Diceros bicornis minor: one gene and its partner. The protein of the gene in region 2 purifies or fractionates together with the protein of the main gene of each other region. This does not show direct contact. Links are inferred from orthologs where the notes say so. Each region holds a gene or a part of one and is shown on either strand. Other genes may lie near its edges.

The links.
Region 1: the proteins of PPP4C (region 2) and CCT6A purify together in Homo sapiens (affinity purification with mass spectrometry; 5 studies listed by BioGRID and IntAct, with this or other methods). This does not show direct contact. The link is inferred for Diceros bicornis minor from reciprocal best matches to the Homo sapiens genes PPP4C and CCT6A.

The regions. Positions count from the first base shown.
Region 1 is NC_080765.1:20,154,364-20,164,572, forward strand, and holds the start of CCT6A (T-complex protein 1 subunit zeta), read right to left. Parts: upstream 4,476-10,209; 5' UTR 4,410-4,475; coding exon 4,273-4,409; intron 3,828-4,272; coding exon 3,764-3,827; intron 1,687-3,763; coding exon 1,552-1,686; intron 959-1,551; exon of another isoform or gene 825-958; intron 686-824; coding exon 512-685; intron 1-511. UniProt on the Homo sapiens protein: Component of the chaperonin-containing T-complex (TRiC), a molecular chaperone complex that assists the folding of actin, tubulin and other proteins upon ATP hydrolysis.
Region 2 is NC_080765.1:21,873,604-21,883,483, forward strand, and holds the start of PPP4C (serine/threonine-protein phosphatase 4 catalytic subunit), read left to right. Parts: upstream 1-5,532; 5' UTR 5,533-5,621; intron 5,622-5,845; 5' UTR 5,846-5,908; coding exon 5,909-6,006; intron 6,007-9,880. Other genes in the region: ALDOA (fructose-bisphosphate aldolase A), read left to right, coding at 394-534, 732-858, 944-1,155, 1,638-1,692, 1,822-1,982, 2,285-2,368, 2,457-2,631, 2,799-2,998 and 1 more. UniProt on the Homo sapiens protein: Protein phosphatase that is involved in many processes such as microtubule organization at centrosomes, maturation of spliceosomal snRNPs, apoptosis, DNA repair, tumor necrosis factor (TNF)-alpha signaling, activation of c-Jun N-terminal kinase MAPK8, regulation of histone acetylation, DNA damage checkpoint signaling, NF-kappa-B activation and cell migration.

The DNA.
Region 1 (10,209 bases), about 1.7 Mb from region 2:
ATCCCGGGCACAAACCGACGTGCTCCGCTTGTCAAGCCGTGCTGTGGCGGCGTCCCATATAAAGTGGGGAAAGATGGGCACGGATGTTAGCTCAGGGCCAATCTTCCTCAGTGAAAAAAAAAAAAAAAAAGAAGAGGAGGATTGGCATCAGGTGTTAGCTCAAGGCTGGTCTTCCTCACACACACACAAAAGAATCATGGACATCCCTCGTATTATTTTATTAAAAATATTGTTAAATCTCCATTTGATAAACCTTTTAATGAAAGCTGATTATAAAGCTAAAGCTTTATAACCTGGTCAGGTATACCATTATTTGATTTTCTCATTTTACTTGTTGGGTACACAGATCTGGTTATCATTGCCACAAAAATGAACCTACCTTTTTCACACAGTATGATACTGTGAAGACTCTAGATAGCACCCTGTAATTGGAATTGGTTAGATGTTTCTAAGATCAGGGGTTTTCAGTATAGGTGTATTGTACCAGCTATGTTCCAAATTTAACACATACCTCTGTTAAGACATCAGCAAGTTCAGCGTGAACTTTGGTACGTAGAGATGTTCTGGCAACATCTATAAGTGTTTCCCTGTCCATCTCTTTGGTTACTTTGACTTGTTCCAAAAACTGAAGTGCCTTTTCCTTTGCAGCTTCAAATCCTTCTGTTATTATTCTGGGATGAAGACCCTATAATAAATACACAATTACAAAATCACCACTAACACTGGAGTTCTTCAATTAGATTCAACTATGTAATTGATGGAAAACTAACTTTTTGAAGGGTTATTCTGGATCATTCATACCCTTTAATACAATTAAGTTGATATAATGTGCTGACTTTCTGAATACATTTAAAAGGATAAATAATCCTTTCAATGCAGAGGAAAAGAACAGACATTGCTCTAGCACAGAATCAAAACCAAGGGAACTATAAAGCACACTTGGGTGTTCACTGTGCAAACCACAGGGAATAATGCCTGAAAGTCACGACTAGGTCATAACAACTTGCAGTCCATAGGACTATTATATCCTTTCTATAGCTAATCTGAAATTAATTTACGTCATTTACTAATAAAAAATAAACAGGGAGACTAAGAGTCTGCTTTCTCTCTCCTCCCAGGAAATTCTTCCTGACATTGGATTAGTACTCACGGAGGTTAGCTTTAACCTTGGAATTACTCAGGGCTAAAAAAGTTGTGGAATTCTTATTTAAGTTTTTGGTTGATTTTTTTCTTATAAACATGACTAGTCTTCAATATCTCATGTCTAGACCTCAATTATTAACCTACGTTACACATAGATATAAACCATATATGCCATGCAACTTGATAAAAAAACCTTTCAGGCCAAGGAAGGTTCCTTAACTTGTCCATGATCACAATAAATTTGTGTCAGACCAGGATAAAGACTCTGATTTCCATATTTAATCCTTCCTGTTCGTTACATTCTACTGTACGGCCTCAGTTACTATTAACACATCAATTTGCATAAATAAAACTCATATTATTTCCTGTACACAATAAACATCACAGAAAAATGAGAATCATGTATACTTCAGAAATGTAGAGATCCGCCTGCTTCAGCAGCTCTCCAATGATTAGGACATTGGAAGTGGTACCATCACCAGTTATGTCATCCTGCGCTGTTGCTACTTTAGCTATTAAGGAGGCTGTTGGATGTTGAATTTGCTGCAAGTAGAAAAAGAAAAAAATTACTTAAACAACTTAAAATGAAACAGTCCAAATATACCTTAAAATGTGTGAAGGGCCTCCTTAAGTGCTATCCATTTGTACAAACTGCCCAAGTGTTCAGCTACATATTACTTTTAAAAACTCAGCATTATGGGGCCAGCCCTGTGGTGTACCAGATAAGTGCTGACGCTCTGCTGCTGGCGGGCCGGGGTTCGGATCCCAAGCGTGCACCTATGCACCGCCTGCCAGGCCATGCTGTGGTGGCATCCCATATAAAGTGGAGGAAGACGGGCACAGATGTTTGCCCAGGGCCAGTTCCTCAGCAAGAAGAGGAGACTTGGCATGAATGTTAGCTCAAGGCTGACCTTCCTCACAAAAAAAAAAAAAAACCCAAGAACTGTCTAAAAGCTCAGCGTTAGCTATTTTGCATATCAGTTTATGAGGACCAAAACATTTTCATATATAAACTTACTTCTCAGACTATCTCCACTTTACTGATGAGGAAATCTGAGGCTCAGTTAAGGTTTACTCAAGGTGATGGAGCTAACAAGCAATAGTAACAAATAATTTCAAATACATGCATGCCTCTTTATGACAAATCTAGAGCTCTTGTGAGAATAAACCAGGTACCTTCTAAAATGAAAGCCCAACAGCCTCCAGTATTACTTGGCATTGACACCTCCCCCCCCAAAAACATAGCCCTCTCAGCAAACATCATCAGTGGATACTAAATCACTGTGTGGAAGGGTTTTAGAAGAACAGGATATTCATGTCGCCTATGTCACCCACCGATTCTTAATTACAAAGAATCCAATCAAGGCTCCTACCCTGCTTTTGGGTGTCTCCTTATTTTGCTTTAATCTAGAACAGTTCCCCAGCCTTTCATGTCTTTGGGGACATTGACAGTTTTAATAATCTAGGCCAGTGATCTTACAGACTATCTCATTATCTAAAGTTGCTGATGATAACCACTTTTGGCACGACTACTACATAAGTGATACTGTATTACTTCTCACTGTCTTTGCTGTATAATTTTTTGTTAAACTATAAATTTTTAATGTGCTTCTCTGTATTTATGTGTTATTTCACAATAAAAAATTAAGCAAAACAAAAAAAATCACATAGATATGGCTTTCCTTTTTTTTTTTTTTTCAAAGATTTTATTTATTTATTTTTCCCCCCCAAAGCCCCAGTAGATGCTTGTATGTCATAGCTGCACATCCTTGTAGTTGCTGTATGTGGGACGCGGCCTCAGCATGGCCCGAGAAGCGGTGCGTCGGTGCGCGCCCGAGCTCCGAACCCGGGCTGCCAGCAGCAGAACGTGCGCACTTAACCGCTAAGCCACCGGGCCGGCCCAATATGGCTTTTCTGACATCAAATTTAAACTATGACTCCAACTGTTGTCTGCTAGCACAGTCCACCACTTAGCCCACTAAAAACAAATAGAAAAGGACTAGGTTATCTAGTCCTTCTGAAGATACTTACAAATGTCTGGATGTTGAAGGCATGCAGGGTACACTACTACCAAAATCCTAAATTTTATATTGAACTCAAACCACAAGCAAGTCATTTCCTTTTCTTGAATTTGAACTGCTAGGTTTTAGGAACTCAGGGACGAATAAAATGATTGCTCCTCTCAATAATTTCATGTTCTTGGTCACTCGGACTTTGAAAAATGGCAGAGTTTTATCTCCCTTTCAGATGGAGGTGGAGTGATGAGATGTAATAGAGTACTGCTGTTTCAAAAGTGCCCACTTGATGATGTTAGCTTTTTCTGCTTTTCAAATTTTATTAGAATTGATTTTAATCATTACAATCCTTTAACCAAACCCTTAAATGGCAAGAGTAGGGATTCAAAAATAAGTCTATCAGACTCCAGGGTTCCTCACTGTATTATCACTGATACTATTACTGATTACATTCCTTTTCTACTCCCTCCATCGTCTGAAGGACTAGCTGTTGAGAGCTGATATGATTTTCTGCTACCTTGAGAATGAACATTAAAAATCTTCCGACAAATCAAACGTGCTACGGAAAACCGAGGCATTTCTGACTTAGCACAGCAGCTTCTCACCATTTCATGAAGCAGCACGTTGCCATCTTTAGTAAGCTTGATGTCTCCAGCACCAGAAACAAGCCTGTGCAACGGGCAGAAATGAATCACAGAATGACTTTTTCAATAGAGATCAAATTAAGAGTCCTATAAAAATCGAGCTTTACCCAGACCCCAGAGAGCCTGGGCAGGTGGGGTGGGTTCTCTCCGCCCGGTAACAGGAACGGTGCAGCGCCCACCCCCACCCTTCAGAGAGACAGTGTGCTGAGTCCTCAGGGTCGCTAAGTCTCAGCGCAAGGGGGAGCGCAGCGCACGCGGGCAGCTTTGTTCTCCGCGGAGGCGGCACCCACTACAAGAGGAAACAGCCCGGGCAGGAAATAGGTCCTACCCGGAGAACACGAGGAGTAAGGGCCGCAGGGCGAGCGCGGAGTCCCGGGAGCGGCAGGCTCGAGGCCGCGGTCCCCGGCGCCAGGCCCGCGGCGGCGCGAGGTGCGCGGCGCGCCCCAGCCCTCCCGCCAGCCCCGCCTTACATCTTCATGGTGCCCTTAGGCCCCAAGTTGGTTCTGAGCACGTCCTGCAGTCCCCGGGCCGCGCTGATGTTCACCGCCAACGCCGCCTGGGCTCGGGCAACCTCGGCCTTGGGGTTCAGGGTCTTCACGGCCGCCATGGCTGACCCAGCAGAGGAAGAGTAAGAGAACCGAAATCAGAAACGCCCAAAGCCGGCTCAGCGTGGCCGGGAGGCGCTATCCGGAGTCTTCTGGAAAAGTCGGGCACGCCTGGCCCGCCCCCAGCGTGCGCGCGCGCCGCCGCCATTGGCCCGCAGGTCGGACGGCGCAGCTCATTGGGTCGCGGCCGCCTGCGGCCCCGCCCCTCGCGCCGTGGCTACGGCGCCATTGCGCAGGGGAGGAGCCTGTTCCTCGGCAATAAGAGCTCAGCGGGTCCTGGTGCCTCAGTGGGCCGGGGCCCTGCTCTCCGCACCTGGGGCGTGAGGACGTAGGCGGCGCGCGGCGCGCAGGCCGCTCAGCGCTAGGCAGGGCCCGTCGGCTGCGCGCGTCTGGGCGTGACGGGGGAATGAGCGCCGTTTCCTGGGCGTCTCTGGCCGCACGGAGTAGAGTGAGCTCCTCCCTCCCCGACTCGAGCGGTTTGCCGTGTTTCCGCTCCTTGCTTCTTTTGTTCCTTTCACCAGAGTTTTCTTGACTGTATACTGCATGCTCGACGACGTTCTAGGTGCTGCGGGGATACAGAAGTGAATCTGATAAGGACCCTCGCCCGGGGTCCTAGGTGTTTTAAGCCTGGGGAAGATGAAGAGATAGAATACAATGTAGAAAGTGCTGGATGCCTTTAGAAAGCTACGGGATTGGTGCCATGGCAGCTGGAGAGAAGCACGAGTCAGTCCACCCTTTGGGCTCAGGAAGACTGTTGAGGTCTGAGACCCTCAAGGCAGGTTTGAAAACTCAAACTTGATTGAGCAGTGGTGTCCGGCCTGTGAGATGACTCCTTTTTAAGACAAAAAAATTCTGAAAGATGTCCACAATTGTTCTGTAGTGTTTAGTCCCCTTCAAATACCAGGTATTTAGTAATCTTTTGTATTTTATTTTAATAATGAAAATTGTTCAGAATTCAAAAGGTGCCAAAGGGCGTATGGTGAAAAGTAACTCTTCCTTGCTCTTCTAGTTCAACTTCCTCCATACAAGCACAGTTACGTTTAGATACTCTGAACTCCCCAGATGCTTTCTGAATTTATAAATAAATATAAGCATTTTCCCCCACACAAAGTGGAAATTTATGATACACACTGTTGGGTGTATTATACTTAAAGTATCTTGGAGAATGTACCATATCAGTGCAAATAAGGATTGCTCATTCCTATTAACAGCTGCATGATATTTTTTGTAAGAATGGCATGATTAGCCAGTCACCTACTGGTTGACATTTAAGTTGTTCCCAGTCTTCTGCTATTCAGGCTGCAATGAATATCCTGGGGAAAATTATAAAATTATCATAAGTATATTTGTTACTATAAATATGTATGTTTGAGAATGATGAAAGCATCTATATATGTTTGAGTAATAGCATTAAACGGTAGAAGGAGACTAGTGATTAGTTCTGCAGATGGTACTTGGTGTGCATGCAGATTTAACTACTGTTGGATGTGTGGGGAGACATGAATGGAGATGAAGATTGTGGAATTTCAGGCATCTGCTTGCAGGTAGTGAAAGGGGGATTGGAGACTTCCACATTCCTGAGGTGCGATATGAAGGGCACACCAAAAACTCAGTAATTGAGATAAATAATACTTTAATGGAATATTTTAAAAAAATTGATGCAAAACATCCACAGTGAACAAGTATCAGAATTTTAAATTATTCATCTGCAGTAATATCATGCAAGGCCTTAGACAAAGTCTCAGCAAAACAGAAGGATCCGCATGATCCCTCTAGAGGCAATCTGTTTACAGATATCATTCTATTGGTCTTGGTTATCACACTTTCAAGCAAATTAATAATTTTCATTATTTGATGCAAAATAGAATAGCAAGGGAGTGTTGCCTATATGCTAATGTATGTATAGAATGGAAGAACTTTAATATGCCTTTTGGAGAATTTCAAACAAAAAGTCACATTGTGGGAGCACATCCATTTCAGTCCATGGTTGAAGAAATTGAGGTGGCAGCAGGTGCTTAGCCATTTGATTCAGCAGGGATTTCAATATAGAAGAAAATTTTAAGGAAAGAACTGTAATGAGGCAGAGTGGTGTATTAGAAAGAATCCTAGAGTCAAAAAATTTGAGTTTGAATTCTAATTTTTCGATGTTTACCAGTATGTCACCTTGGATGTTACTTAACTTTTTTGAGTCAATTTTATAATCTATAAAGTAGGGGTAAGTGACGTCCTAGAGAAAATTAAATGATATTGCATGTGTAACATGCTTTGTATTCTGCCAGACATGGAAGGTGTTAAGTCAATTGCTACTACTGCATTCATATAATGTAGTTAACTCTATATAATTTTCTTACCACCTTTACAAACATTGTCTCATTTGATCCTAATACGAATGCTTTGAAGTTGATAGGTCAGGTATTATTAAACCAGCTTCACAGATGATTAAATCAACACAAAGAGAGGTTAAATGGCCAAGTCCAGGTCGTACTATGTTGTATTAGGGGAGAGCCAAAAACCTAGATTTCACCATTGGCTCCTCCCTTTGCCTCAGTCCCCCTATTCACATATTCCCTGAATGTTTTCACATTTACTTGATAGCTATTGCCTCTCTTCACTGTCAAAATTGACTATAGTGGAGCCATTTTAAAATGAAGTGCAAGCTGCCTTTCTAGAGAAACTGCCTTGCTGTTTGAACCTTGAACAGGGCCAATCCTTTGGACTAGGCAAAAATGGCAATTATTTTACAGATAATTGTTTCAGAAGTCAGCAGGAGAACGGACATTCTGATCTCAAAGACTGAAGATTGTGGACTTTCTGAAGAGAAAATCAATAGTCAGTCAATGTTTAGCCAAGACTAGCTCTCTGCCTCCAACTCCGATTAAAATTCTTTGTAATAAAACCTTCCTTCTTTGCCTTTAAAAGCCCCTGACTCTTATACCTAAGTGGGACACTATTTGGGTTTCTTCCTGAATGTGTGCTCCCTAAGTTGCAATTCTTTAGACCCCAAATACACTTTTTGCTTTTGTCAATGCAAATAATCTGTAATCAATCTATAAATCAAAATTGGGGTGAGTTTATTATGAGCCAGGTCTGAGAACTATAGCCTGGGGCCTTCCTTCCCAAGGAAGGAAGGGAACCAAAGAAGTGGGGTGTGCAGAGGGTTATATACTGTCTTGGAACAGAGAGCATACATCACATATGACAGGAATATCTCTTTTACTACTGTCACGAGATGCTTAGCTGGCACAGCAGTGCAGTGGTCAGCAGATCAGTGGTCACAAGGTGAGCATAGCAGGTCAGTGATTAATCCTTAGTTTCTAGGAAGAGATGCTTATCCTTAAAGCTGGTATGGGGAGAAGTTATATCCTTATCTTTTTTTTTTTTTTTTTGTGAGGAAGATCAACCCTGAGCTAACATCCATGCCAGTCCTCCTCTTTTTGCTGAGGAAGACTGGCCCTGGGTTAACATCTGTGCCCATCTTCCTCCACTTTATATGGGATGCCACCACAGCACGGCCTGACAAGCGGTGCATTGGTGCACGCCGGGGATCCGAACCTGGGTCACCAGCAGCGGAGTGCGAGCACTTAACTGCTATGCCACGGGGCCGGCCTACATCCTTATTTTTAAGGGCATCATTCTTGTCTTTGGGACATAGTAAATGTTTAAAGCAGATGTACAGTGCATGCTCAACAGGCCTTGTCAGGCCTTTTTGGAAAAACGAGGTCAGGCCGAATTAGTTTTACACCAAGTGGCTTCCTCATATACTCCAATATATCCTGTTGCTTTTCATTTATTTATCATTTTCCCCCTTTTGATCTATAATCTTGATAGAAAGCATTGATGATCAAAATATTGTCCCTCAGTGCCAGTGTGGTTGCTGCCTGCCCTGGATCCATCATGTCCTTTGATGCTAGGCTTTCATCTCATTTATTTGCCCAGTTATCCACGTTAGGGGAAAATAGTGAGACAAGCATAGATGTATATATTAACAGAGAAAACATTTCATAGGTTATATAATTTTTCAATTAATTTTAGTTTATTGCACAAGCATTGTACATGTGCTTTTACCTGACTCCTTGTGCTCACATTGTTTATAATTATAGAACAGGTACAGTAACAATGATGACAATTCAATATTTGAAAAGATTAGTTTTGAAATGAGTTCTTTGGCATAGTCTTTATCAGAAAAGAAAATTCACCCAGGGTTGTAAGATCCCTCAGTCATCTCAAGTCACTCAGCAGTCATTACTCTAGCCTGCATGCCAGTCTTACAACACTGAGTAAAGAAAATAGTAATTAGAGGGCCAGTCCTGTGGCTTATCGGTTAAGTGCTTGCACTCCGATGCTGGCGGCCTGGGTTCGGATCCCGGGCATGCACCGATGCACCGCTTCTCCGGCCATGCTGAGGCCGTGGCCCACATACAGCAACTAGAAGGATGTGCACCTATGACATACAACTATCTACTGGGGCTTTGGGGAAAAAAGGAGGAGGATTGGCAATAGATGTTGGCTCAGAGCCCATCTTCCTCAGCAAAAAAGAGGAGGATTAGCATGGATGTTAGCTCAGGGCTGATCTTCCTCACAAAAAAAAAAAAGAAAATAGTAATTAGAGTATTATGACTAATACAAGAATTCCAATGAGTAATAGAAATAGGAATTGCAATCTGGATCAAAAAAGGGAACCAATACCTGAAGAGGACCAACCAAACAAAGCAAGACTGGATGTAGAATCGCTTAAGGCATTCACCTATTTTTTTCTTCATGTGCTTTAGCAGAGATGACCCATTGGAAGATTCATCAGGTATAAAAAACACAGCATTCAGTTTGAATGATTGTACATGTACCACCTTGGGATGCAGTTGAAATGTCTAAGGCCATTTTATTTTGAAGGACAGCCTTTCTCATTAAAGACATTTTAGTATTTAATAAGTCTGTTCCTGCTTGACTATTGCTAATGGTTTGTTGAGTAAATTTAGTCAGAGCTTCCATATGTGATATAACATCTTTTACCCCAAGGAAGGAACAAATATAGCCGCTAGATGGCCATGCCAGTGGAACACTGAACGAGCCCATCTGGCCTTAAAGAGAGGAACATTGGCAACAGATGTTAGCTCAGGGTGAATCCTTGCCTGCATCAAAGGGAAGCTGAGGGTGCAGTGTTTTAGCCATCTGGGCAGAGGCTATGCCAGAGGTTTGTTCAACATAACCACTGAGTTCCATTGGGAGCCACCTGATAAATGCCTGGCCTTCGAGACCAGTCTGTTCTAAATCAATCACTTTCTTTAAGTATGGTAGTATTCTGAAAACCTTAAATGGAACAATTATAAAATGGGTATATGGCTTAAGCATTACAAAGGTTTAAATGAGGAGATATAAGGTTGGGAATATAGGCCTAGTCCAGAGTTTTGGGACAGCTGTCTACAACAGATGCCATCTTCTTCTCCTGGTTTGGAGATATTTTCATTGGTCAGTTGAAGTCAGGTATCAGAAATAGGAACTGAAACCCACTCAGGTGGAGAAGGCTTTTTTGATTGAGTCTATGACTTGGGATTCGGCAGCATATGAATTGGTTAAAAGTACCTGGTATGGTCCTTTCCAATAAGGTGGCAAAGAGTCTTTTATCTAGTCTTTTCCAATGGACAAAATCTCCAGATTGAAGTCCGTGATCCTTAAGGTCTTCATCTCCTGGGAGCTCACTGTGAAAAGAATCAGCTACCAACCTCTCGTATCTTTAAGTGTCTCAATTAGACCTTGACAATAATGTAAGATATCGCCTTTAAGCAAAGTTGGTCCATACATTCCTTT
Region 2 (9,880 bases):
ATCTCACCCCTTTCCTCCACCTCAGGCCTGGCTTCCCCTACTGCCCTTTCCTGGACTTCTGATCACCCTCCTACGTTTTTCCTAACACCCTTTTCTTAACACTCTCCCCCCATCCTGGGGGGAGAAGCCTGACCTTGGGATGTCCTTGAGGCATTGGAGCCTGGCCCAGCCCTGGGATCTTGGGTGGATTGGAAGGAACACTCCTATGGCAGTCAGAAGATCTGGGTTCTAATCTCAGATCTGGCCCTGGGGTTTCTGTGTTGGTTGAAGCACAGACCTTCCTTCCCCTTCCCTGGGTACTTTCAGGTGAGAGGGTTGGGCCCTATGCCTTATGCATGACCTCTAAATTCTAAAATACTCCAGTTCGGTTTTGCTTCTAGGCAAAGTTACCCCATGGCAAGGCGCAAGCCAGAAGGGTCCAGCTTCTGCATGACCAGCCTGTCCGTGGCTCTGGCCTATTCCTTTAGCCCAGATGCCAGTACGCAACCCCACTCTCAGCTGGGCAACACCCAGCAACAAACAGAGTTAGGAAAGGTACAGGAGGCAGGCCTAATATAGGGAAGTCGGGTGTAGGGGAGAGCTGGGGACAGGAAGTGCCCCAAGACCTGTGGGTGTGGGGCAGGGGAGGTAAGGAGCTTTTGCCCTGACCTCCAGGCAAGTGGCCCTGCTCACTAGGAGGCCATGGTAAGACCCAGCTAAGCAGTCCTCGCCCATCTGTCTCCTCTGCCCAGGAACTGACCGGCACCATGCCCCACCAATACCCAGCACTGACCCCGGAGCAGAAGAAGGAGCTGTCTGACATCGCTCACCGCATCGTGGCTCCGGGCAAGGGCATCCTGGCCGCAGATGAGTCCACTGGTACGGGCAGGAGACAGTGGGAGGAGGGCCCAAGGTTGGGGGTGACAGGCTGATCCCCTTATTGCCATGTGATGCTGCCCTCCAGGGAGCATTGCCAAGCGGCTGCAGTCCATTGGCACTGAGAACACTGAGGAGAACCGGCGCTTCTACCGCCAGCTGCTGCTGACTGCTGACGACCGCGTGAATCCTTGCATTGGGGGCGTCATCCTCTTCCATGAGACACTCTACCAGAAGGCAGATGATGGGCGTCCCTTCCCCCAAGTTATCAAATCCAAGGGCGGTGTTGTGGGCATCAAGGTGAGGGGCCTGGGCCTCAGGATGTGAGATTTCAGATGGATTGGGGGAAAGAAATCCAGAGTAGTAGGCTAGGGGGTGAACACTGGGCTGGGAGCCTAGAGACTGTGGTGGAGTCTGGCACAGATCACCCCTGAATCATTATAAGAAAAGGTAGAAACTTAAGGACCTGCTTGGCATTGTTAATCCTTCCAATTCTAAGAGTGAGGTATTACTCTCATTGTGCGGATGAAAAACCAGAAGCTCAAGTCAGTAAAGTGTTTTGCTTGCAGAGTTGGGAAGTGATAGGAGGCCAGGCTCTCTGTCAAATAACATCCCTGTGTATCCTGCCTCATAGGATCAGAGACTATAAGTGAAAACATTTGCAAACCATAAGATGCCACCTGAGAGATTGAGTAAAGTTGGGGGCAGAGTGGGACTAGAGAGGAGAAGAGGGTACTAGAGATGATTTCTCCTGTTTTATGTTGTTGTCCTCACCCCAACAGGTAGACAAGGGCGTGGTACCCCTGGCAGGAACAAACGGCGAGACGACCACCCAAGGTGAGAACTGTTTGGCTCCCTGCCTTACCAACCAACCCACCCAGGTCGGTACCCCTTGGGTAACCAGGGTGAGTGGGAGCCACCTGCCCCCTCCTCTGCCATGCTCTGACTCCTCCGTCCCCTCTCCAGGGCTGGATGGGCTGTCTGAGCGCTGTGCCCAGTACAAGAAGGATGGAGCAGACTTTGCCAAGTGGCGCTGTGTGCTGAAGATTGGGGAGCACACTCCCTCATCTCTTGCCATCATGGAAAATGCCAACGTTCTGGCCCGTTATGCCAGCATCTGCCAGCAGGTGGGCCTGCAGGTCCCCAACAGGCCACCTCCCACCTCATTTTGTTCCAGAATGTCAGCTAGCCTGCCACACATCTCCCAGCATCCCTCTCTCCCTCACTTGAGGGCTTTGTAAGCAGAGGGCAGAACAGGGATTGTGTGGATGGATCTGAAGAGAAGGCTCTCGCCCACAGTCTGCTGAGGACTGTGCAGCTATGAGTCTCCGTCATCATGGAGATAAGATCTTGGCTGATGGCTGTAGAGAGCTGTAGGTGGGGCTCCGGGTTAGGAAGCCTCATGGCTACCCTGTCTTTCACCCCACAGAATGGCATCGTGCCCATCGTGGAGCCTGAGATCCTCCCTGATGGGGACCATGACTTGAAGCGCTGTCAGTATGTAACCGAGAAGGTAGGTTGTCTGGCTCCCTGGGCAGTGTGTGGTGGGCTGACCCGTCCCCCGACTCTAACCTACCCACTTTGGTCCTGCCCTGCGCTAGGTGCTGGCTGCTGTTTACAAGGCTCTGAGTGACCACCACATCTACCTGGAAGGCACCTTGCTGAAGCCCAATATGGTAACCCCAGGCCACGCCTGCACCCACAAATATTCTCACGAGGAGATTGCCATGGCAACTGTCACAGCATTGCGCCGCACAGTGCCCCCCGCTGTCACTGGTGAGACCCACACCCTCGTCTTGACCTCTGGGAGGTAGATGAACTGTACCCACAATCCTTGTGCCCACTTGGTCTGATTTCCAGGCCAGCTTCTAGGGGCTCCTACCAGCCAGTCTGCTGGATCTCTGACTACAATCCCTCCCCCCATTTCACCCCTCGCTATACAGGGATCACCTTCCTATCTGGAGGCCAGAGTGAGGAGGAGGCATCCATCAACCTCAACGCCATCAACAAGTGCCCCCTGCTGAAGCCATGGGCCCTGACCTTCTCCTATGGCCGAGCCCTGCAGGCCTCTGCCCTGAAGGCCTGGGGTGGAAAGAAGGAGAACCTAAAGGCTGCCCAGGAGGAATATGTCAAGCGAGCCCTGGTGAGGATGGCGCAGGAGGTGGGCAGGGTGGCCGGGTGGACGGGGTTCTGAGAAGAGACCTTCTTACTCTCGCTCCTTTCTCCTCTTAGGCCAACAGCCTCGCCTGCCAAGGAAAGTACACCCCAAGTGGTCAGGCCGGGGCTGCAGCCAGCGAGTCCCTTTTCATCTCTAACCATGCCTACTAAGTGGAGGTATTCTAAGGCTACCCCCTCAACACTCCAGGCCCGCCCCCTCCCACACTCATTCTTGAACAGGGGGCCTCATCCAGGGCTCTAGGCTACTTTTTCCCATCATTCTTGCCTCCCTGGTGACATTGGTGTGTGGTATTGTCTGTGTATGCTAACTCCATCGCCCTTTCCAGCCCACTGCCAATAAACAACTATTTAAGGGGGAGTCTGCTGTCCATTTCTGTGGTGTCCAGGGCAGGGGAGGGCCAGGGGAGGTGGCAGAGCCCAGAAGAAAGAGCCCTTGTTTTGTGTTCTTCCTTCTTGGGCAGGAAAAAGGTGAAGGGGGTGGGATAGGACCTTCCTATCCCCCTTGTTTTATACTTGCCCAGGGTTTCAAGAGGAGAGCTTGTGAAATTTTCTTCCAGCCACCAACTGCTCCACCCCCTTCTACCAGCAGCATCTGATAAGGCTCACAGTTGGGAAGTGTGTCTGTAACTGCTAGTCATGAGGTTGCAGACTCAGCCTCACTTTTATGCCCAGAACTCACGGGTGCAGAAGGCCCCAGTGAGAAGAACAGCCACTGACAAAAGCCAAGATTTCCTGGGTTTATGTGTTCTATATAAGATAACATAAATGTTCTATATGAGAGGTGCTGTTACCCTCAATTTATCCTTAAGGTTACAGTGCACCGAGACTGCACTGTTTCTTGGTGGAAACAAGATTGTTAATGCATATCTCCTTAATCTACACTGTTGAGCTTGCCCGTCTTCCCATTTTAACAGGAGATAGGATCAGAACTGGCTTCTTAGTCTTTGGGAACTCCTTGAAGAACCTGGAATCCTCTCTAACACCCCCCTCAACAATGCAGATAGACATACGCACAGAACTGTGGAGCTCAGGTTCCAGGTTAACAACTGAGCCTCTGTAGCTGCTGCATTCCATGAAGCCAGAATGGGCCCTGCACTTAGACCCCTATGCCATACTTTGAACCCTTCCCCAATTGCCCAGGCTGGGGTATAGCAGCAACTACACCAGGTCTTTTCAGCTATTAAAAATCCTAGTCATAACCAGGGAATAGTCCTGCCACTTCCCAAATTTCCTGTTATGGGCCCTTTCCTGTCTGAGCTGCCTGCTAGAGAAAGAAAAATCTTGACCTTTCTGATCTGTGGACCCACTGAATCCCTGTAGTGATCTTCGTAGAAGTGACTTATCTAGGACTAGGAGTTCTAGTTCTAGGAGTTTAAGAACTTGGTCCTTTCCTTCTCTCTGCACATTTGCATCTGTTGCCTGCATCCAAAACCAAACCCATTCCCTGTGCCCCTCCAAACAGGCCTCACTTCTGTGCCTAGCCTTACTCCACTTGGTGAAACAAAATCTGAAGTAAAGCAAATAAAAATTGAAGGTCAATAGAAGATAGCAAAAAGCACATTCCAAAAGGGCTCAGACATCATGAAGTTTGCTTCAAGACCAATTGCTTCCCCTCCCTGCAGCAAAGAGACCAGGGAAGCAGAGGACTTCAAACCCCAATTGTGGGAGTTTGGGACTTATTTTATGACAAAGTGAGTTCCAGAAAGAGTAAGTGACGGAGGAGAAGCTGGAGCTGAGAACACAGCTTTCCTGGGTTCAAATTTCAACCTTGCTTCAAACCCAAAATTCTTAGCTATGCGACCATGAACAAGTTAAGATCTTTGAGCCAGTTTCCTCTTCAAAAAAGGAATAAAATTGCAGACTATGGGAAGCAACTGACGGGTGTCCAGGGGACCATTCTGGAATCAGAGAGGTCGTGTTGACTGAGCCATAGGCTTGGTGTGGGGAAGGTGGACTCCCTTCTGCCTCTAACTTCGGAGGTCCTCCATGGCAGGGATTTCTCTGGGACCACTTAAGAGACATGGTTTGGCTCTTTCCAAAACCATGGAAAGAGATTTGGACCGGGATTCCTTCATCCATTGAACAAATACCTATGTATGCCTACTGTGCCAGGCCTTGTTCTAAGCACTGGGGCCGCAAGCGTGAACCAGACAAAGTACCATCCCTCTGAGATTGTAATGGGGGAGGCCAACTAAACCAGGTAAACAAAAACGTGTAACAAAGCTACAAACCGGAGCGCCCGCTCGGCTTCAGTCTCCCTAACCGAGATGGGAGGGGACTGGAGCGTGGTTTCTAGCAGCCCTCACAGCGCCAATCGGCTTAGCCCACAGTCACTTCCGCCCGCACGCTACCGGCGACCGGCTCCTTCGCCTCGGAGCGCTCCCTGGGCTTGAGGGGTGGGGCTCAGGGCGCGGCGTGGGAGGGGTTGAGTATGACGCCACGTCCGGCGCGCGGCGGCACTGGTCCCCTTTGCTTCCGCGGCGGGGCCGGAAGTAGAAGCGGCGGTGGCGGCGGCCCAAAGCGGAGGAAAGGAGCAAGGCAGGAGCTCGAGAGCCGGAGCCGGAGCCGGAGCCGGAGCAGCAGCGGCGGTAATAGTCCGAGACTCCTCTAGGCCACCGTCCCTAGCGCGGGGCCGCGGGGCTCGCGGAGCTAGCCGGGGGGTAGCCAGTGCCATGGGACGCTGGGGGTCCGGGAGGCGCTGTGAGGGGCGGCGGGGGTCGGGGGAGCCGGGCTGGCTCCAGAATTGAGTTGCCCTCCCGTCCCGGCGCCCCCCACGGACACTGATCCGCGGGCTCGTCTTCGCCTTTCCCAGGAGACCCCTGTGCGGTGCGGAGGGGGCGGCGGCCCTGGCTCTAACCCGCGCCGGGGGTGGGCCATGGCGGAGATCAGCGACCTGGACCGGCAGATCGAGCAGCTGCGGCGCTGCGAGCTCATCAAGGAGAGCGAAGTCAAGGCCCTGTGCGCTAAGGCCAGGTGAGCCCGGCGGCCCCAGGGAAGGGAGGCCCGGCCGCTGTCCACGGGTTCCGGCCTGGGGCAAACCCAGCTGAGAACTTTGGGCCTGGCTCATTCTGGAAGCTTTCTCCGAGAGCAGCAGAATAGGGCCACTTTCCTCGAGGAACAACCAGCCTGCTGGGGGAAGAAAGACCTGGATAAGGACACTTAGAAGTATTAGATGATGTGTTTTCAGTGGAGTTAGAGCGTTGTAGAAAGTACGTAGGAAGCTTAGGGAAACAGCCTTATCTGTCGGGGGAACAGAGAAGGCTTCTCGGAGGAACTGAACTTTGGGGGTAGACTTGGAAGAATAATATGATAAAAGGGAATATCAGCAGGAACAAAGTTCAAGGCAGAAAAGCTAAAGACTCTGTGGTTTATAAAATTCTTTTAATTCCAACAACAACTCTTAAAGGTGGGTGGAATTGTCTCCATTTTACAGGTGAGGACTCTCATGTTCAGAGTCAACCAGCAAGTGAGGGACGGAGTCAGAAACTAGTTCTCCGTGTCCTGTCCCCTTTTCAGGCCGTTAAGGCAAGAAGGTGGAGTTGGATCACTCTCATGTTCATTGTGGGAGCCTAAGAAATGGTAGCAGCTAAGCCAGGGTGGAATTAAGCATGCTATGGAGAGAGGCCCAACTCATAGTTCTGTAGGAAGTAGGATGATGTCGTGGTTACGAGCCCAGGCTTTGGAATGTGATGGCTCTAGGTTGGAATCTGAGCTCTGTCAGTTATTAGCTGTGTTGGTGATCTTGAGGTCTCTGACACTCAGTTTCTTCATCTGTAAAGTGGGAATAGTAGCACTTAATAAGATGGTTGTGAAAGTCAGTAAGTTGGTGCTTGGGATTAGCAGAGAGCTTTGGTACAATGTGAGTGCTCGGCAGTCTTTAGGTGGTGGTGTTATTACTGCATGGAAAGAGGGCAATGCTGATATGAACTGAAGTCATCAGGGAAGACTTTTAAGAGAAGGTGGCCTTGAAAAATGAAAATAATTTGGGTAGCTGATGGGAGCAGGGCCAGTGAGGAGGGGCATTCCAGGCAGAGTGACAGTAAGAGTGGAGGCCCTGAGATGTGTGGGCACCAATGAGGAGACCAGTTACCTGCCTCCTTGGTGCTACTGCTTGACTGTGGCTTCCCCCAAGATGGGGAATTGTGGGAAAAGAGCCAGCAGGCTTACCCTGCATTTGTTGAACAACAGGCCCACTATTAGCCTGGCTTTGTACTGGCAAAGAACTTACGGTCGTTTCCTCCCCACAGCAATCTTGGGAGGTTGGGATTATTTACTCCATTTTACAGAACAGGAAGCCATGATTCCTACAGGCCTAGTGGCTTGACTAAGATCACCCAGAGAGAAAGTGGCAGGGCTGGGTTCTGGGCCTGTGGCTGTCAGAGGCTGCATGGGTTTGGTGAACAGGCAAGGCCCCTTTTTGAATGCTTGTCTGTGGCTCTTCTGTGTTTTGCCAGCCCAAGAAAACTTCCCTGACCAGACCCTAAGATGTTTTTAGTCATCCCTGATTACTCAGTCTTGATTGGCATTTTTAGGAACTTAAATCAGTTGCTGTCTGGCACTGTTCTGCCTAGCACTATTCTTTTTCCCCGTAAGTCTTATCTGCCCGCAGGCCTGGCTCAGTTTGGTGGTGGTGATAGCTAATGCTTAAATAGCACTGTGGAGATTTCAGAAAAACAGAGAGGTTATGTGTTCAGGCTTTGTTGCTCTTTGCACAGCCCTATGGAGTAGGCAGCGCAGGGTGAGGATTTCACAGAAGAGGAAACTGAGCCTCAGAGAAGATAATGTTTTGCCTGTAGTCTCACAGCTGGTTGGAGGGGAGGTTGGTTTTGGATCCAGGTCTTGCGCTATACTCCATGCTCATTGACAGCCAGGCAGAGACATTTAGACTGTGTGAGAGGCGGCAGGGAGCTGTAGAGGACTGAGGGCTAGGCGGGTCTTGCCCAGTTGAAGCTGAGATGGAGCCAGGAGGCACTAGGCTGGGGCCTGAGTTGGCCACCATTATCGCAGGCCCAGTCTGAAGGGGGGCCAACTCTAGCACCTGGCCATGGCCTTCTGGGGGACCCACCAGGAGTCCAGGCCAAGGCTGGTAGTGTCAGAGCTTCAGCTTGCTCAGAGGGTACGTAGACTCAAATCCTTGGAACTAGAGAGGCCTGAAGTGTGTGAGTTGAACTTGCTCCTGTTAAAGACGTCAGCATATGAGACGTGCAGAGGGTTTTGAATCAGGTGGCCTCCAGTATGAGTCCCGGCTTCGTCAGCTATAAACAATATGAGCCTGATCAAGTCACTTGATCTCTCCAAGTCTTTGAAATCATTATGGAGCTCAGATGAGATTCTGCATATCCAGGAACAGGGCCTGGCTCTTTTGTAGGCACTTCCTAAAGGTAATGCTCCTCGCGGAAGTCAAGGGGAGCAGGGGCGAGCCCTGAGAGGGCTGGTGATATGCTGCAAGGGACAGAGCTGGGGTCGGAGGCTGGGCCTTGTTCCCAGACCGCGCTGGGGCCCTACTGGCACTGAGGTGGGGTTTTGACTCACATCTTGGGAAAGGGCTGGCATAAATTCTCAGGAAATTGGGCTCCTGGGGTCTAATTCTGCCATTCTCTAGCTTTGTGACCTTGATCCTTTCCCTTTTTTCTCTAAGCCTGTTTCTTTTTTTTTTTCCTAGAGATTATTATTTTTTTTTTGGTGAGGAATATTGGCCCTAACATCTGTTGCCAATCTTCGTCTTTTTGCTTGAGGAAGATTGTCCCTGAGCTAACGTCTGTGTCAGTCTTCCTCTCTTTTGTATGTGGGATGCCGCCACAGCATGATCTAAGCCTGTTTCTTTATCTGTCAGATGAGGATGAAAAGAACCTCCCGTAGCCGGTTGGAAAGGTCGTTATAAGCAGTTGATGTGGGAGGATGTTCACCACAAGATGCAGGACAGGTGGGGGGGCCTGGTTGCTATATGGCCCCTTGGACCACCACCAGTGCCTCCCACCGTTCCGGGAAAGCCACGGCACACCTCCCTCGAGCCGCCTTTGTTATCCAGAGCGCCCTGAGGGTCGTCCAGGGAGCTCCGCATCCAGCGGGAGGAGACTGGCAGAAAGAGTGAGGGCTGAGCCGGTGCCTGGGGCCCTCCCACGTCAGGATAGCTGGGGAAGAGCCGGGCCCTGCAGCCAGGCTGCCTTGGTTCAGGTCCCGTCTATACAAGAGTTTCTTCATCTGAGCAGTGGGCATCGTCACAGTGCCTGCCTTTGAGGGTGATGATTGCATGCATCATCATCTGTGCAAAGCTCTTACCACAGTCCTGGCGCCTGATGTGAACTGGAATGTTCACTCCTGCCATCATCAAGGACAAAATCTGGAAATAGGGTGCTACTGAAATTGGGTGTCTAACTGAAAAAGTGGTTGTATGTCATGCTCACTCCAGTAGAAGTAGACTGCACTGCAAAAAGAAATGAAGGAACAAACTCCTCTCTTCCTCTAAATAAAGCATGAAAAAGTAGCAACAGCGTATCACTTGGAAGGGGAGCACATCTGATCACAGTGTATCACATCTGGCGAGTAGCCTGCCCAGGGCACCCCCTGTGCCTTTGGGCATTCTGGGAGAAGGCCCCCGTGATGAGTAGAGAGGGGCTGCAGAGCTCAGCCAGGAACACAGTCTCAGAGCGCTTGAGGCTGAGGGAGGAGCGTGAGCAGAGGGCTCTGTGGAGAGGAGGAGGGGGTCTGTTTTGTGAGACTGAGTGCTGGCCGTGTGAAAGGGAGCAGCAGGGAGGGGCAAGGCCAGGAAAGTCACGTCCTGCTTGGAAGGGCTTTGAATGCTGAAGCAAGAGCCTGAGCTTTGGCCTGTTGGCAGCGGGGAGCCATG